Linked DNA regions of Callithrix jacchus. The protein of the gene in region 4 purifies or fractionates together with the protein of the main gene of each other region. This does not show direct contact. Links are inferred from orthologs where the notes say so. Each region holds a gene or a part of one and is shown on either strand. Other genes may lie near its edges.

What was found.
Region 1: the proteins of STAT1 (region 4) and IRF9 purify together in Homo sapiens (affinity purification with western blotting; 5 studies listed by BioGRID and IntAct, with this or other methods). This does not show direct contact. The link is inferred for Callithrix jacchus from reciprocal best matches to the Homo sapiens genes STAT1 and IRF9.
Region 2: the proteins of STAT1 (region 4) and SRC purify together in Homo sapiens (affinity purification with western blotting; 3 studies listed by BioGRID). This does not show direct contact. The link is inferred for Callithrix jacchus from reciprocal best matches to the Homo sapiens genes STAT1 and SRC.
Region 3: the proteins of STAT1 (region 4) and PIAS1 purify together in Homo sapiens (affinity purification with western blotting; 5 studies listed by BioGRID). This does not show direct contact. The link is inferred for Callithrix jacchus from reciprocal best matches to the Homo sapiens genes STAT1 and PIAS1.

Annotation. Positions count from the first base shown.
Region 1 is NC_133509.1:58,471,726-58,475,970, reverse strand, and holds the end of IRF9 (interferon regulatory factor 9), read right to left. Parts: intron 4,227-4,245; coding exon 4,102-4,226; intron 3,807-4,101; coding exon of another isoform or gene 3,746-3,806; coding exon 3,664-3,745; intron 3,562-3,663; coding exon 3,490-3,561; intron 3,009-3,489; coding exon 2,667-3,008; intron 1,771-2,666; coding exon 1,655-1,770; intron 1,495-1,654; coding exon 1,420-1,494; 3' UTR 1,037-1,419; downstream 1-1,036.
Region 2 is NC_133506.1:32,782,065-32,787,052, forward strand, and holds the start of SRC (proto-oncogene tyrosine-protein kinase Src), read left to right. Parts: upstream 1-1,652; 5' UTR 1,653-1,780; intron 1,781-4,988. UniProt on the Homo sapiens protein: Non-receptor protein tyrosine kinase which is activated following engagement of many different classes of cellular receptors including immune response receptors, integrins and other adhesion receptors, receptor protein tyrosine kinases, G protein-coupled receptors as well as cytokine receptors.
Region 3 is NC_133509.1:15,176,198-15,180,933, forward strand, and holds the start of PIAS1 (E3 SUMO-protein ligase PIAS1), read left to right. Parts: upstream 1-1,400; 5' UTR 1,401-1,412; coding exon 1,413-1,436; intron 1,437-1,961; exon of another isoform or gene 1,962-2,195; intron 2,196-4,736. UniProt on the Homo sapiens protein: Functions as an E3-type small ubiquitin-like modifier (SUMO) ligase, stabilizing the interaction between UBE2I and the substrate, and as a SUMO-tethering factor. Catalyzes sumoylation of various proteins, such as CEBPB, MRE11, MTA1, PTK2 and PML.
Region 4 is NC_133507.1:37,804,552-37,808,800, reverse strand, and holds part of STAT1 (signal transducer and activator of transcription 1-alpha/beta), read right to left. Parts: intron 3,665-4,249; coding exon 3,575-3,664; intron 1,856-3,574; coding exon 1,777-1,855; intron 715-1,776; coding exon 623-714; intron 411-622; coding exon 259-410; intron 1-258. UniProt on the Homo sapiens protein: Signal transducer and transcription activator that mediates cellular responses to interferons (IFNs), cytokine KITLG/SCF and other cytokines and other growth factors.

The DNA.
Region 1 (4,245 bases), on a different chromosome or scaffold from region 4:
TCTAGGAGGAATTTCATCAAATTGAGAGCACAAGGTTGCACGCCTCTACACTCAGTACCTGATTTCTTCACTGCTAGTGCAGAGCCTGTATAGGTGCTTGGCTTCCCAGGATGATGGACAAGACTGAAGAGAAGAAGGGAGGTCCATGGAAGAAGGGAGGCTCAAAGGCAGTACTGAAGCTTGTCAAAAGAGGCAGGAGGAGGGTCATAGGAGGACTTAGGCATCCAGATTTGATTGTGTGTGAGCCATTGAGGGCTGATGAGTGAAATCACAGGAGGAAGTCTAGAAAGCTAAGCTGGTGTTGGATGCAGGAAGACAGAGGCTGAAGGCTGTGGCCTGGGTTGGAACTAGTTTGCTGGAAGTTAATATACAAAAAAGTAGGTGACAAGTGGCCTTGTGAAGGAAAAACTTCCAGTTTGGTAGTAAAATGAACACAGAGGAAAGGGAAGGGAGTGTAAGTCGATTTGGAGCCCTCAAGTCTCATGAAAAGCATGTTGGACATGGCAGTCTAGGCTGGAGTATCTTTTATGGGACTTAGAGCAAGGAATCCAGTTTGGGAGTACCCTGCTGGGGTGACAGCACAATTTGTGCTGGGGGAAGGGGTGCCAGGAACAGCAGGTACAGGTTTAGCAACTCTTCTGACTCCTCTATTCTCAGGCCCCAGGGCCTCTAGAACAGTTTTGGGTCACCCTCAAGTGTCTCCTCTTCAGACTTCTAGTCTAACCCCAGGCCCGATGTTGGTGCTCTTAGCAAGAACTGTGGAGCCCAGACTACCATGAGAAGTTGGTGGCTATAGTGCCTGGCTGAAGGCTCGGTGCCCTTTCAATGGCCAATCCCAACCCTCTCCCTAATCATGGCTGCCTAGAGAGTACCTCTGCAGAGTGCCAGGCCCAGGACCCACAGGGCCCAGACAGCATCTTAGCCAGAACCTGTGGGCAGAGGAGAGGAAAGAGCTTTGAAGATGTCAGAAGGAAGAAAACCCCAGTGTCCTGCTCATAAGTTTACATCTCTGTCTCCCAGAAAAATCAGATACTGATTCCTCTTTCAATAAAATTTTATTTTAAATCCTTAGTGAATAACTAAGAGGAAAATATAAAGTGCTTGGCTTTAGAGTTGGGAGGTCAGGAAAGAGGGAAAGATCCCTGGGTTCACACCGTTTGAATTTCTCAGTCCCTTACACATGAAAGAAGGTGTGTATCTCAAAATCCAAAAAATAAAAAATTTAAAAAAAGAAAGGACAAAATATTAGCCTTGAGTTCTCCACCAGCCAGTGTGTGCGAGGATTTTAAGGACACAACTATCACAGACAACCACTGAGAATTATCACGAGGAGGACAGGTCAATCATGTGAAGAATGAGTCTATTTCAAAGGAGACAGGCAGAACAAAGAAGTGAGGTGGAAGATGGGCTCCCCAGGCTCTACACCAGGGACAGAATGGCTGCCTGCTGCTCTGGAGTCTCCTCCAGTAAGTGTCGGGCAAAAGCCTGCTCCATCTGTATTGGAAGAGATGGAGAAGAGCGTCTCAGTGAGTGCATCAGGGACAGACACCACCCCCAGGAGCTCCTTCCCCACTGGGAGACCCCCTTCACCTCCTGGACCACCACTGCCCCTACTCTCATTAGATAGGCTACTCTGCCCCTGCTCTGAGCTCACCTTCACTGTGATAAGATTCTGTGGAGTATGGCTGGGGCCACAGCTCTCCTCCCAGAAATTCAGTGTTACCTGGAACTTGGGTGGGGGGCCCAGGCCCTGGAAGTACCTGGCCAAGTCTGAAAGAGAAAGGGTCAAGGGTTGGAAGGAGAAAAACAAGAGAGAGGGCCACAGGTTGGGAGGCAATAGTGAGGAACCCATGATGGAGATAGTTAGGAGGGGGGGTCCACATGGAGCCCCAGGCCAGAGCAGGAGCTGCAAGGTCAGGAGAAGTGCTCGGAACTAAATGCTACTCACCCATGTGCAAACGGGAAAGGGTGCCCCTGCCTCAAATAAGTGTTAGAAGTAGCAGATCACTGCACAACCTGAAAAGCTCTCTCTGCTGAGAGAGTTTAAGAGTCCTCCCAGGCCGCAGCCCTGGCTGCTAACACAGATGTGCCCAGACTTTTGCTGCTTGCTCATACCCTCTCAGTGCTAGGGTACCCATGGCCCTGGGAACACCCACACTCTATACCCCCTGTACTCCTGGCCCCACTCTTAAGTCAGATTTAGAATTGAGTAGGAACTGGAACTGGATAGGAGAGGGGGGCAACCCTAGGGCATTCCTGGAGTATAGTAGAGATGATGCAGCCAGAGCCAGAGGTATGATGTGTGCCAGCTCTCCCAAATGTGTGTACATAGGACAAGGCCATGAGGCTCACTCTGTGCCAATTCTTCTGTGCACCTTCACATAATGACTGCACGCTTCAGTGTGATGGTGTTCCCCAAGATGTGACACTCTTGTGCTGAGCTCTACCTGAACCTCCTCTTCCACTGTCTTGGCTGGAGAAGAGCTGCCATATAGCTGCCAGGCTGGGCATATGGCCAAACACGATGTGCACCACACAAGTGCAGGAGTGCCATGCATAGGCTACATGGAAGATCTGCTGGCAAACAGGGTGGTGGCAGGACCCACCAAGTTGGGCCCGGGGGGTACTAAGATAGGAGCTCAGGTGCCCAGTGAGAGCATCCTCACCTCTGCAGAAGTAGGCAGTTCTGAAGAGCTCCACACACTCGTTGCTGGGCAGCAGATGTGGGCCTGGCCCAGGTGGAGCCTGGGGTGCATTCCAGGAGATGGGGATGGGGCAAAGGCGCTGCACGAAGAGGCCTCGGGGGTTGCTGGCCACCAGGATGCCCCTCTCAAGCTGACTCAGTAGGCGCTGCGTGGGCTCCAGTGGGCCAGGCTTGGGGAATAACACCTGCTCCATGCTGCTCTCAGAGCCTGAGGGCTCAGCCACGAGGCGGCAGTCCAGGCTTTGCACCTGGGCCTCGCCCACCACGCGCCCGTTGTAGATGAAGGTGAGCAGCAGTGAGTAGTCTGGGGATAGAACAGTCTAGCTGTACCTGGTGCTGGAGGAGCATGCAGGCTGGTGGTAGCCCCTCCCCAGGGGAACATCTCCACTCCCCTCCCCTCACTGGCCAGGGGGCTTCCCCTCAGGTTTTCCCATCACTCAGGCAAGTAGCTAGTACTACTGAGTGATTCACCATGAGGCCTCAGGGCTTAATGCCCAGGGTCCTGTCATTTACAAGAAGGTCCCTTGAGACTGGGGCTCTGTTTGGCCCAAAGAAATTAGTGTCTCAGTGTGGATTTCCAGGAGAGTGTATAGGGTGGTATTTTTGGGAAGCAAGCTTTTTAGAGTCTGGCCAGGTATGTGGAATCTCACCACCTAGAAACAAGTGCCTTGGGCTATGATAAGATGGTCACAGTTTCCTGTAAGCCCTGACTGACTAGATAATGCATGTACGATCAAAGGAGGAAGGCCTCAGGAACACAGGAGAAAGTTAGAAATGTCACGTACCTGGCTCTGGAGGAAGTAGAAACTCCAGGGACACCTGATCCCCTTGTAAGGGGGCCTCAGTTGTATCTGTACCTGGAAGGGAAGCAAAGGCACTGGTCATTCAGAGTGGGGCTGGGGAGTCTTGGGCCAGAGTGTGTGACATGGTGGATGACACAAGAGGCAAGCAGGTGGTACCTTCCTGTGGTTCAGGGCTGCTGCTGCTGCTGCTGCTTCCGATGTCTGAATGGACTGCTCCCCCACTGGCTCCCTCCTCTTCCTGCAGACACAGTGTTTTTTCGCTTTTTTTTTTGAGACGGAGTCTCACTCTGTCACCCAGGCTGCAGTGCAATAGCGCAATCTCGGCTCATGGCAACCTCCACATCCCAGGTTCAAGCTATTCTCCTGCCTCAGTCTCCCGAGTAGCTGTGATTACAGGCAGCTGTCACTATGACCAGCTAATTTTTGGATTTTTAGTAGAGACAAGGTTTCACCATGTTGGTCAAGGCTGGTTTTGAACTCCTGACCTCAGACGATGTGCCCACCTTGGCCTCTGAAGATGCTTTCATTGGCCCACCTCTCCCTCTAGTTACTGTCCTGCTCTCAGGCCTGCCCAATTCCCTCTCCATCGCTCACATTATTGAGGGAGTCCTGGAGCACAGAGGGACTGAGTGTACAGTTCTGCATGGCACCCTCTTCCTCCTTCCTCTCAGAAGACACAGAACTGTGCTGTTGCTTTGATGGTGATTTCTGAGTCCCTCCTATAGAATTGTTGAGGGA
Region 2 (4,988 bases), on a different chromosome or scaffold from region 4:
TGGGAAGAGATGAGCAAAGTCAGTTCTTGCAAGTTGGTAAGAGCCAGCTCCAGTGTGTCACTGGGTGAATGTCTCTGCCTCCCCCTTAGCCCAGTATGGCCAGTAAAGGCCTTGAGACATGTCTAAGGAATGGAAGAGGGCTGGGAAACCTGCTCCTCCAGCCAGGGGCCCGCCTGAGTCCTGGGAAGCTTTGGTTAATCTTTAAGCCAGCCTTGCAAGGAAGTGCAGCCATTTCACCAGGCTGGGCTGACCTCTGCTGTGGACTTGCTGTGGCATCTCCAGCCGCCCCTTTCCCCTCTGACCTCGGCTTATCACCGCAAGAGGTGCTATTCACTGAGTACCACCCAACCATCCTCACAGTGGTCAGTTCCAACCTTCCCAGGAATCTTCTGTGGCCATGTCCACTCCAGTTTTACAGGTGAGGGGGCTGGGCTGGGAAGCTGATGGACTTGTCCACCGTGCTGCAGAGGGCCAGCTAGCCTAGATGCGAACCGAGATCAGGGTGGAGTAAGGCTTTGCTCATTCTTGGTCTCCTGGAAGGTATGTTGTACCCAGAAGCCTTTGCCTTCCACATTCTAGCGTGCTCCTCCCTGCTCCTCTCAGCAGGGACCTTTGCCCAGAAATTAGAACCCTGGCAAAGGTTTCTGTTTGCCTTTGACCTGGCTGGGCCTTAATTTCCCATTTGTGAAATGGAGAGAACTTTCAAAGAAGAAATGTGGAGGCAGGGGTGGTATTTAAAGCTAGACCCAGGCCCACTTTTCCCTGTGCTAGGATTCCAGGACAGGTGAGGAGGCAAGGGTGGGGTGCCCAGCGCCCTGGAGGCTGGGGCCAAGGGGTGATGGGGGTGACAGGGAAGTCTGGCCATAAGCAGCTGCCCTGGTTCAGAGGTACTTAGCCTCTTTACTTACTTGGAACTGTGATTGCCGCTCAGATGCCCTGGTCAGCCCCTCCTAAGCAGTACTATCTGGAACTAGGGAGCTTCCGATGGACTGCCAGCGACGTTTTTTCCCTGTGCGCTTAAAATGATCCCGTATCTATTAAAATAAATGTCGCTCCTCCCCACCCTGCCCGTCCTGCCCCAGTCCCCACTTTGAGAAACTCAGGTCAAGGCTAAGGTCCAAGGCCTGGTTCTTGTCAGTGCCTCAGTTTCCGCATCTGTAAAGTGGGAATGATCTTCCTCAGCTCAGGCCAGGTGGTGGTTAGGCTTAAACCCTGAAGTCGACCTGAGCAGCTTAGCATGGCGCCTGGCACAGAGCGGGTGCTCCACTCCCGCTGATATCATTACTAACCGTGATTGCGGGAGAGGTGGATCTGGGGCGTAAGGGTGGGTGGGCTGGGGAGGGCATTTTGGCCTGGGGGCGGATGGGGCCCGCGGGGTGGGGCGCCCCGGCGGAGTGGGGGCGGGGCTTTTGTGCCCGGCGTCCCCGCCCCGCCCGGACCCCCGGCTCGCGCCGCGCCTGGGTCTCTCCTGGGTCACCGGCGGGGAATCCGTCCCCGCGCGCTTCCTCCTTCCTCCTCCTCCCGGCTGCCTGCCGGGCCCCTCCTCCCGGCTCGCGCGCTCCCTCCCTCCTCTTCCCCTCCCCGGGCCGCCGCCGCCTCCTCCTCCTCCTCCTCCCTTTCTCTCTCGATCTGTCTCTCCCGGCCCGGAATCCATTCCGGCCTGGGAGCCGGAGCGGCCAGGCCGCCGTCTGCCCGACCCGCTGACGGTCCCGCGGTCCGCCCTCCAGTGCGTCCGTCTGCCGGTGCGTCTGCCCGCCTGCCCGCCTGCCTGCCGGCCCAGGTGAGCGTCCCCCGCCCCTCCGCGAGCCCCCAGCCACGGCCTGCGCCGGGGAGCCCCCGCCCCGGACCACCCTGGCGTCGGATCGTCGGCCTACTGGGGCTCCTGTCTACCCCCCAATTCCCACTCCCCGGGGCCGAGCCGCGATACCCCAGCGCCGGGCGGGCCCACGGGGCCATGCCCGGCGAGGCCTTTTGTTGTGATGCCGCGGGGAGAGGGGGCTGGGCGGGGGGGCGCAGGGGTCCTGGCTGCGTGGGGACCCCCTCCAGCTCGTGCTCCCCATAGGATCCCCCAGAGAAGCGGGCGAGCTGGGCCCTAGCCCCCGGGCCAGGTCTAGGCCAAATCTGAAATCTGAGCCAGTAGGCGCCGCCTCTGGCCGTGGCTGCCTGGCCCTGCGACCCCCGGCCGGGGGTAGGAGGTGGGGGGAATCGGCAGAGCGGGCTGAGGGGCCCCGGGGTCAGGGCGCCAGGCCGAGCCGCCAGGACCTCCCTGCCCTCGTGGGGCCTTGGGTAGGGCCTGGTGCTGCCGGCCTGGAAGGGACTGGGCCAGACTGCGTTGGGTTTCCACTGTCCACAGCCCCCAGCCTCGCCCCTGAGTAGGCCCAGCCACCAGCCGGCTCAGAAGTTGGCAAAAGTTTTGGGTGTTGGCCACCGGGCCAGGTCCACCTCTCTGCCTGGGCTGGGATTGGGGGTGGGTATGAGTCCCCACCAGGGCTGCCACTTGCCCTGCTGTGTGTCCTCAGACAACTGCCTGCCTCTCTGAGCTGGGGTCCTCATCAGTGGCAGGTGGGCCTGGCTGGAATTGCTGGGCTGGTGGAAGGATGGGGTGAACAGAAGGGGCTCACCTATGTGGTATCCTTTCGGCCCCTGCATCCTTCAGGTGGACTTAAGAGTGGACAGAGCCTGTGTGTGCCCCTGGGCAAGGCCTCCTGAACTTTGTGGACTCTTTACAATTTGGGGCAGTGGTTGCCCGGTCACCTGGGGTATGTCCAGACCCAGCCACAGCCACAGTGTGGGCCAGGCTGGGCCTGTTGCTGACCCTCTTCTCAGCCCCCTTGCTGGGGGGTCAAGACTGAGGCTCTTGTCTCACCTGGTGACCTGGGCCAAGACACCGCCCTCTTAAGTTCCCCATAGGTGAAATGAGAATCCTCAGGTGAAGATTCTAGTAGATGCTCAATGAATGAAGTCTTCACCGAATGCATTGGCTGAGAAAGATGGGTGAGAGGCGAGGTTGCTGGCTAGTTCATTCTAGAAGAGTATGGATTGGTGTCTTGAGAAAGAAACAGCCGGGGCCGATCCTGCCAGCAGCTGTGTGACCTCGAGCAACTCACTCTTCCCCTCTGGCCTCAGTTTTGCCAAGGATAAAAGTGGGCCAGCGGTCATGACAGTTGCTAACATCTACTGAACACCTTTTCAGAGGTAGGGACTCTTGTTTATCCTTGTTTTGCTGATGATGGGGGAAACTGAGGCTAAGAGAGAAGTGACTTGCCAAGGCCATACAGTTGGAAGCTGGAATTAAAGCCCAGACCTCAGAGACACAGTCTGGCTGTCCTTGCATCCCTCGGTGCTGGGGCAGTGGAGGTCCCCAAGACAGGACTGCTTGCACAGCCGTGTTGGAAGAAACTGTTCTGTCGAGGGATTGAGTGAAAGCCACGAGGACTTTTTGGTGATGTGGTGATCTGGTATTTCCATCCGAGGAAATGATTTACAGTGTGTCACCTCCCAAAGCTGACTGCCTGCCTGCTCCTGGGCCTTTGCTCTTAAACCGTGTCCCTCTTAGAGTGCCCTTTCCTCCAGGTGCTGCATATCTGCCCTTGCCTCAGCAGGCTTAGGCCCACCTCTCCTAGGAAGAAGGTCCCTGGCTCTCTCTCCTTGTCCCCTATCTCTTCTTGGAGCATGAGTTATCCACAGCTCAGCCTGGCTCCTGCTTTTGCTTCTCTGACTGCGGCCTGTTGGGTGGGGGTGGAGGGATGTCTGGCTCCCCCAAGCCCTAGGAACCAGAGAGGAGATGGCTCAGTGACCTGTTGAGGGACTCCGCCCATCCCCCTGTTCTTCAGCTGACCCCATGTTCTCAAACCTTCCCATGTATAAGCATTTGTGACTCTGTATTAAGCACCTGCTGTGTACCTGGAGCTTGGAACTCGGGCTGAGCAGTATTGTGCTGGGGTTAGCAGGGAGCAGCAGCTGTGGGAATCCTGGAGGCTTCCAGAAGGTGGCAGGGCCTGAGCTGAGGACAACCAGGAGTTCACCCAACAAAGAAGGGGAGAGAGAGCTTTTTTTTCCCTTCCCCGGGGCCCCGGGGTGGTGGGGTGTGGTCAGCCTGGTTGGATACTTGCTGGGGACCTGGGAACAGGTCCTTGGCCTCCCAGAAGTTTGAATCTGAAGGGTGGGCAAAGTTGCAAACACATTGCCATGAGTTACTGTATAATCACAGATATGATAAGAGCTCAGGGAGAGAGGCCTGGGGTAAAGAGGAATCTTGAAGGAGGCATGTAGGGGTTGGCCAGGCATGGAGTTAGGGAAAGGGCTTGCCAGGCAGCAGGACATGCACGTGCAAAGGCCCTGAGGTAGGTGCCAAGACGTGTGCTGTCATGGAGAATCAGTGGGAGAAACTCCGAGGCCAGAGTTCGCACAATGGGGGGAGTGGGTGAGGACAGAACAAGGGGGTAGATCAGCAGGGCTGGACCATGTGGGGGCCTTGTGGGCCCTGGGGAAGAGTTTGGCCTTCATTGTCACACAGGGGGCTGATTGGTGTCCCCTGTGTGAACAGCCCGATGCTGGAGGCCAGAGGTACAGAGCTGATCAATAGAAACAGATCTGATGAGAGAACTAGATCTGCAGGCTGCATGCCCATATTTTATGGAGGATCTAATCCCCCATAAAATGTTGATGTGAGTATTTGAGGTTTCAAGAGGAGCGGATATTTGAGACTGGGCTTTGGAAGTGGAGTAGGAGTTCACTAGCAGGAAGGCCTGGAAAGGATGAGAGCCAGGGGTGTGGGAAGTGCCGGGTGGCTGGAAGCTGGGAGTGAGGTGGGGAGCAGGGAGGGGTCAGCCCAAGAGATGGGGATCAAAGTTTGGTAAGGGCTCAGGAGTCAGACAGACCTGGGTTCAAGTTCCACTGTCCCCACTTGCTGTGTGTCTTCGGATCCATTCACTATACCTTTTGAGAGACTTAGTTTGTCATGAAAATGGGGACAATAGATACCTCCT
Region 3 (4,736 bases), on a different chromosome or scaffold from region 4:
AACCCAAATATTACTATGCAGATAAGGGTAGTTTTGATGGTGAGAAGATCAGGGAGTTTATTTCTGATATCCTTCATTTTTTTCACGAGGTATGAGGAAAAGTTGATTAGCAAAAAGTGGGATTTGGGGAGGAGGTATATAGAAGGCTTTTCGTAGAGACAAAAGGAAATAATCTTTCCATCAACTCTACTTTTTTGGGGGGCCTGGGGGATGGAGTTTTGCTCTTGTCGCCCAGGCTGGAGTGCAGTGGCATGATCTTGGCTCACTACAACCTCCGCCCCCCAGGTTCAAGCGATTTTCCTGCCTCAGCCTACTGAGTAGCTGGGATTACAGGCATGCACCACCATGCCCAGCTAATTTTGTATTTTTAGTAGAGACGGGGTTTTGCCTTGTTGGACAGGCTGATTTCGAACTCCTGACCTCAAGTGATCCACCCGCCTTGGCTTCCCAAAGTGCTGGGATTACAGGAGTGAGCCACCATGCCCGGCCATCAAGTCTACTTAAATGTCAATTTAGTGGAGAAAGCCTTCCCAGAATTAAGGACATCTCCCAAACCCTTTCTCTCTCTCAATAAACCTTTTTCTCCTTTGTGGTACTCACTACCATTTGTTATCTTTATTCGTTCCCTTGTCTAATTCCTCATTAGAGAACTACAGAAGGGCAGGGACTTTGATTTCCCAATGTACATTTAGCCGTTAGCACAGGTCCAGCAGATAGTCACTAAATACATACTTTTGAAAACAAAAATATTAATGAACACCTTCACAGTTTTGTCTTACGCCAGCCACCTCGTTAAATCCTTGTTTATATGCAAGTCGCTTTTTCTCTCTGAGCTTTCATTTCTGAATCTATACCATGGGAATTATCTTTTCCTTGCCTATCTCACCGCGTTATCAAGAGGAGGCTCTGAGCCAATAATCCTAGAAATGCTTCATTAAAGGGTCCCTTAAATGTAACGGATTTCTATTTTTTGCCCACTGGTAGCCTTGCACGTAGCAGGTGCTGAAAAGCCTTGCTTATTGGGGGTTGGGGGACAGTATTGTTTCTGTGACCGTAGGCGTCGAAGCTATGCAGAAGCATTCCGCGGACTGCGGAGAGATGGGGCTCAGGCCAGCATCCCTCTCGCTCCGGCCCTTCCCGGGAGGGCTGGCCGAGCGAGGATGGGGGGCTGGGAGGCCGTGGGGGCAGTAACTGTCAAACCTCGCGGCTTGGCGCCATTATTTAAATGGTACGTGCTTGTCTCGCAGCTGTACGTGCCCGGGGCGGGGCTTCGAGCGCCCGGAGCGGGGCGGAGGCAAGAGGCGGGCTGGGAAGGTGGAGGGGCGGGGAGGGGTGGGGCCAGGCAGGCTGGAGAGGCGGGCCTAACGGCGGCCCCCGGCAACGTTCACTGCGCTTGCGCTGACAGACGCAAGATGGCGGACAGTGCGGAACTAAAGGTAAAGCGCAGCTCGAATTCACTTCTAATATTCGGCCGCGGAGACGGCGCCGCTGGTGCCGAGGGGGATGGGTCCGACCCTGGGGGGCCGCTCGGGCCTGACTCCACCCGGGCTTGGAGTTGCAGGGAGAGAGGCGCGCCCAGTCTCAGCAGAGGGGGCCCGGCTGCGGCGGGCCGCGGGCCCCGGGTGCCTCGGGGGCGCTGACGGGTCGTCCCCGGCGTGTTATTGTTGTGGGCGCCTCTGGCGGGGGTGGCGGGGGAAGAGATAGGGAGTCGGGAGGTAGGGGCTGCAGCTGTCTCCCGGGCTCGGCTTTTTCACCTTCAGTTAGCCTCCCCGCCCCCCATGGGGAGCTGGGGCTGGGGGCAGGGTGCTCTTGTAGGGGGGATTGGGAAAGCTCCCCGTGGCCGCTTCCTCTTCCTCCTTTGCAGTCCCGGGCTCCTGTCAGGCGCTCTTCTCAGACCCCCGGGAACTTGGCTCCGGCCGCCCCGCCCCTCCGTGGATCCCTGTCGCCCCCGCCCCGGACTCGGCTTTCCCCGGCTGCTCGCTTGTCAGGAAGCGCCTGGGGTGCCCCGCTTGTGGGGAAGCGCGATCCTAGGGCTATAGGGTGGGGATCTCGGGGAGAAGCTCTGGTAAAGTTTGGCGAGCCCCGGGCCGACGTTGGGGTTCGGCTGAGAGGTAGCCGGGGGGAGTCAGCCTGGGCGGGACGTTACTCTCTCTCTCTGATTCCAGGCAGCCGAAGGGAGAAACCCCCCTCCAAGAGTGAGTCTTTGGAAGCAGTGGTGGGAGGGGGGATCCATCTACCTCTCTCCCTTCTCTTGCCTTGGCTGGTGTGGAGGGTGAGAGGAGCCTTTGGGGGGTCTCTGCACACACCATGATGGCGATGCTGTAGCTGATGGAGGTGAATGGTTCGTGTTTATATCCCCCCATTGCCTTTTGTTTGTAGGGACAGCTTGCTGGCCATGTTGATTTGAACGAAATTCTCCCCTCACGCTACTCCAACCCCCGATAAATAGAACGTTCCTCTTAACTGTACCAATTACCCACACCTCACGAAATTAGATGAAAGGGTGCCCCCTTTTCCCCGCTTTTCTCCCACCCCAATCTTTACCTGATGATGGCTTCTTTACCGAAGCAGATATACCACTACACAAGCAGTTGGGGGAGGAGGGGTGAAACCCTTATGATTGGATTGTGACAAATGGGGCTCCGCTTGAATAATTTTGGTTTAGTAGCAGGCAGTTCTTAACTAACGCGTATTATTTCGAGGCTCTGAACTCGATCTTCTCTATGGCTTACTGCGTGTGTGAACCCAGCAGCTGGTTATATCTCGACCCAGAGAACTGACATCTCTGTCGGAGTGGAGATTGGGATATACAATTGTAAATCTTTGGGGAGAGCCTTCTTTTTATAATTAATAAAAATTATGTAACTTTTTTCTCCGTTATAATGAAACCACAACTTCTAGAACAACCAAATGCCTGATTTGATTCTGTAGAGTTTTTCCTGTGGAATAGCCTCACCGAAAGATCTTTTCTCCTAATAACTTCACAATGTTTACATTCCAAGATTTGTATATTAAAGTATTGGCTTTGAGTGTCATTCTTTTAACATGTACTTTAATTACAAATTTACTTAAGGGAGAGCAGGTTTAGAATGGATGGTTTGGTTTTTCCCCAGTTTCAAACTATTGCCTGAAATGAGAAAGCCTTAGGAATTTGAATATTTGGAGATAATTAACCTTTGAAATAAAAAAAAAAAAAGCACAACTTTAAGACATGTTTTTCTCTTAAAATAGAGTTACCATGTTGCTGTGGTCTTTGCCTTCTAATATTTATTTTGTTAGGAGTTCTTTTGAATGATAGCTAATCAGTTGTTATACATAGACCATAGAATAAAGCTGAAAAACTTGTGCAGACTATATTGTCACTCTTGATGCTGTCCAAAGAAACTAGTATGGAAAGCACATGCTGAGAGATTTCCTTCTTTGTTCTTTCTCATTTTAAGAAAGTGCCTTTGGGGATAGATCAGATCCCTGGTGTGAGTCTTGTTAGGTAAAGTTTCTCTTTACAAAAATGAACCAGTATCAGATAAACACCAAACACTTGAAGAAATGTTATTTTTCTAAAATTAGTCTCCTTTTTTGCTCTCTCCAAAATCTACTTGAGTTTTTCCAGAGGAATTTTTTTTTCTACTTTTATGCTCCTGTTGTATACTTTTTCAAATTATAATAACTGTTTTGACATGTTGGTATGTCATTGTGTATGTCTGAGACTTTGAGGAGCTGTGTGATAAACTGCTTAGCTGGTGTTAGCTGTGTTAAAAAAAATTTGGTTAGTACTTCATTGTGGTTAGATTTGCTGTTTCTTTTTTGGGGGGTGGAGGAGGTGATCTCAGGAACGCCTACCATAGTTATTCGAGAATGTGTTAAAAAAAAGAATGTGTATATATAATTTTCTGTGCAGTAAGGTTTGGCAGATACTTCTTTTGGAAATGATATTTATGGAAGGCTTTTTGTTTGTGATTTTTGGAGGTAAATATCATACATTCCTATTATGATAGGTAAAATCAGAGTAAGAAGAAAAAAAATCTAGATTTTTTTTTTGAAATTTTAAATGGGTATAGAGTACTTCAGCTGTGAAAGCTTTTGTGTAAATACCGTGACTTTCATTATCTTAGGTCTCAGCCCCACACTTCATTTTGCTGTGGATTGTATTCATAATTATTTTCCTCATGGTTTTTTTAGTGAGTCCTTTTAAATCTATAAGGAATCTGCGAACATCAGATGGGAAAACAGATCTTTATCCCCTGTAGGAATTGTGCACGCTGCAACACTTCAAGATATTGCCAATAAAAATTAGATTGTAAGTCATACATATCAAAATGAATTCTCTATGCACATTTGTTTATGAAAGCTTTAATTTTTCATTAGGAGAATACCCATAAATGACATTTTTAAGAATGTGGAGAGTATTTTGTCATCTTTGGGAACTTAAAAGCAGGAGGTTGTGATGACCAGATGATCTTGGTAGTTAAAAAGCTGACAGCTTCATGCAGCTCCTCTTAAAGTACTTTAAAATATATACATTTTTTTGGAGTAAAACTCAAACCAAGTTATATTGCCATTTTAATTTACAGGAAGAAGAGTGGGAGGGAAGAAGTTCATCATCATTGTAGTGGAGTAAATAAATGGGAAGAGAAACCATAATTATAAAAGTTTCTATAAGTATGTTAGTAAATTCTATTGTTATTTTCTGCCTCTTTATTTTCAAGAAATAGCGACTTAATTTTGATCCTTTTGCT
Region 4 (4,249 bases):
CTGAGGTGTTGTACAATCAAACAACACATCCCATGGCACAGGACTGCTCCACACCAAGCAGACGTGGCTGAATGTGGCAAGAGTCATGAATAACACTGTGCTTTCCAAGGGACTGTGTCCAGGGTAAGCAGAAGCTGGACTACATCAAACTCTATACCAACATTTTGACAAGGTCCATTCAACACAGCTCAAAGGGGCATTGATGAGCTTATGTGGTTAGCTAGTCAGCTGCTGGTTTTCCACTTTGGAGAATCTTACCAGTTCTGCAGTTGATCCAGGCAAGCATTGGGTGGCCCCCCAATACAGGCGCTCTGCTGTCTCTGCTTCCACTCCACTAGTTCATCGTTAATCAGGGCATTCTGGGTAAGTTCAGTGACATTCAACAACTCTATTATTTTGTGAACTACTTCCTAAAGGCAGTGGAAGAAATAGTGAAATAAATTCATTTTTAATCACTGAATTTTCAAATATTTTTTAAAAGAAAAGCAAGTATCGTTTCATTCTCAACTGGGGTTCTAAGCAAGGGGGTTAAAAAAATAATGTTTCCTCTCTTCTGAAATTGAGTCCATTATGCATAGTCTGTAACAAAAGCAGCATGCTATTCTGGAAAGTAAATAACTACCTTTCTTTTATTGTCAAGCATTAAATACATCTTCTTGAGTAACAGCTGTTCTTGTTTCTGATCACTCTTCGCCACACCATTGGTCTCGTGTTCTATAAATTGAGAGACAGCCAGTAAATATATTTACATAAATAAGACAAAACCAACAAAAGCCAAGATAATATAACTTAGGATAAATAGATACAGATGCCGCCTAGAGACAGGTCAAAGTTTGGCTTTCTTCCATCTTTATTAAACATGAAAACAAGTCCTAAGGATAACAACTAGACACACTGAAACAGAACGCTTGTTTTCAGTGACCCATCTAAATCAGACATAGTAGTATCTGCCACTGCAGTCACTGGCAGATAATTTCCTAAATAAACGTACATAACAAAGTTCAAAACTGCAGTTAAAAAAATGTATGCAAAGCATATCTGTAGGTTTTGAAGAGAAGTAGATGATTATAAAGTGGTAGTTGAAGTCGCTGTCTCTCATACTTTTTACCCAAATCATACTTATAATCTGCCTATGAACCGTTGTATACGCCAGATGATGAATATAGTAACAGTAGTACACCACATATTCTGTACAACACACAATCTTGAGTTATCTTTGGTTGCTACTCTCATTAAGAACAAGCAACAGTAACAAAATAGAGTAACACTGCTTTAAAACATGAGAAAAATACTGAGCTTATCTGCCATGTATACAATGGACCTGCAATGTTTGAAGAAACTTCAGATATTAGGGCAGGGGAACTCCACATTCTGTCACTCTGCATGAATCAGTGGACTACACGCAATTCAAAGGTGAGTAACACATAACCCGTGGTTATCAAGTATGGGTCACTGACCCCAGGGGACTTTTTGCATTGTTTGAAGACAATTTTGGTTGTCACTAGTGAGGGTTCCTGGCTAGTGCCACTGGCATCTGGTGGGTAGAAGTCAGGGATGCTGTTGAACACTCTACAATGCCAGGACAGCCCCCACAACAAATTATCTGCCCTAAAACATGAATGGTACTGGATGTTAAGGAACCCTGGCTTGGGTTATCAAGGAACAATTCAGAGTCATAAAATAATTGGCAAATAAAAAGCAGTAATCATATTCGCTATCTAGTGTGAACAGAAAAAATTACAGCCAATGGGCACCCCTTCAATTGTGAAGCCTTACCTCTGTTCTGCAAGGTTTTGCATTTAAAGTCATACTCATCTTGTAAATCTTCCAGGTTCTTGATTTCATGCTCTATACACTACAAATAAAGACATAAACATATTTTCTACTGATCAGCGACTTCCAAAGACTTTAGAAAACAGAGTTTTGTTCCTATGGAACCCCGAGAAACGTGAAAACAGTTCCAGCTCCCTCAAAAAGAGATCTGACTTGGAGAGGTCTAATCATATACATGAAATTACTTATATTTCATTAACAAGTATGTAATAACACTTTAAAAAAAAGCAAATGTATAATAATTCTCAAACTGATTTGTATGTTCTTAACCTGGTTTCAGGGCCAATATTTTGATTCTTCCTCCTCATTTTTGAGAGATACAATTTAAGAACTCGGAGGCCGGGCGCAGTAGCTCAAGCCTGTAATCCCAGCACTTTGGGAGTCCGAGGCGGGTGGATCACGAGGTCGAGATTGAGACCATCCTGGTCAACACGGTGAAACCCCATCTCTACTAAAAATATAAAAAACTAGCTGGGCATGGTGGTGTGTGCCTGTAATCCAAGCTACTCCGGAGGCTGAGGCAGAATTGCCTGAACCCAGGAGGCGGAGGTTGAGGTGAGCTGAGATCGTGCCATTGCACTCCAGCCTGGGTAACAAGAGCGAAACTCCGTCTCAAAAAAAAAAAAAAAAGAAAGAACTCTGAGTTACTTAAATACTTAAGTAACTCAATTTAAGTACCTCTGAGACACGATTTAAGAACTCCACTATGAAGCACACAACAGGGATAAAAAGCTCATGGAAAATCTTCTCACTCCTTTCCAATAAGAAAAGTGACCATACATCCCTGCTTTACTGGCAGAGACCTAGTTTCATACTTTCTATAAACAGTGGCCTCCTGCTGGCTCAAATGCATCTCCATCTGGACAATAAATTGTATGTTCACTCTACAAATAAGCCTTGTTTGTTTGGGATTTGGTCACATTTCTACATATTCTTCTCTGGATTTCCATGGCTATTTCTGGACTGGGCTCTCTTAGTTTCTACTTTAATGAAATGTTTCCCTAGGAGAATTTGCTCCAAAGAATGGATAAAGTTCTCCAAAGAATGTGGAGTTTGGAAAGATGCTGCCTGAAGCATGTAAGTCAAGGCCATACTGGTGCTACCCAGAGATCCGCAGAGGACCACACCCCTTAGTTGGAAAGCCTTTTCCACAACACACGCTTTTGTGAAGAACTCCTCAACCTCTCCCTGCACCAACCTTAACAGTGGAAAGGAATAAATGTACACCACCGAGAACGCCAGAGCAGCCCTTTGCTTCCATAAATTGACTTGGAAGTTTTATCCTAAAATTGCTGTGGATGTCTTAATCAGAAATGTATCCAAATTTATTTCAATAAAATGTATTTTTACTCCTCTTCCAAGTCTTAGGATAAAACAGGTGATTGAGAAAGATGGGCCATGTTTATCCTGGGCACTGTGATTGAAAGGTGTGGACTTAAATAGAGCAGCAACATCTCATTTACTGGGTACTGGGGCAAAGTCAACATTTACTGCATGATCTTTCAAGGAAGAAAAAGATAAGCTCAATGTTTGGCAGTTATAATAAGGGGCCATTTAAAAAGTCTATCTGGTCATTGATTTTACCAATTTGTTTACTTACAGCTTGAGACTTCTGCAACATTTTTCTTCCCAACTACTTAAAAGACTGAACTCAGTTACTAGGTTTACACCCAAAGGGACTGAAACCTTTTTTCCCTACAGAAAGTTTTAGAATAAACGCACATGTTTACTCAGTACTTACCATAACCTTGTCCTTCACGTTTCTGACTTTGCTGTCAAGCTCTTTCTGTTTGTCTAACATCACCGTGCTCTGAATACTCCCCAGCTGAGCCTGTAATGGGAAGGGCATGATTACAGACATCATTTTCTCCAGGGTGTGTACTTGCTGGTTACACTCCAAAGTCCCCACCTGCCTCCCAGATCTTCTGACACATACTACAGGCTTCCCACTTATGTGTCAATAAGAATTTTTTCCCAAGATCCTGGAAAATGCTGGCAAACTATTAACAAGGCTGCAAAATAACTAGGCTTAATTCATGTCTGTAATTATTTCTGGGAGTTTCCATTAATTCACACAATTGCATAGCATCACACTAGAATTCAGTTCAGAGTTTCTCAAATACTGTACACAAGATTACTCTTACTAACCCTGTCCTTCTTTATCTTAAAGCTTTCTGATTCAAAGTGTGTCCTCATACCAGCAGCATCTCACCACCTAGGATCTTGTTGGAAATGCAAAATCTAAGGGCTAATTCGATTATGGAATCAGAAAACCCTATTTTCACACAATCTCGAGTGATTCAGAGGTGTACTGAAACATAAAGGCATTGAATTAAGGGCATCAATGAAAATCTGCTACTATAAAGTCAATAATGAATATAAAACCAGACTTGCCTGGGAGTACTCAGTCCTATTT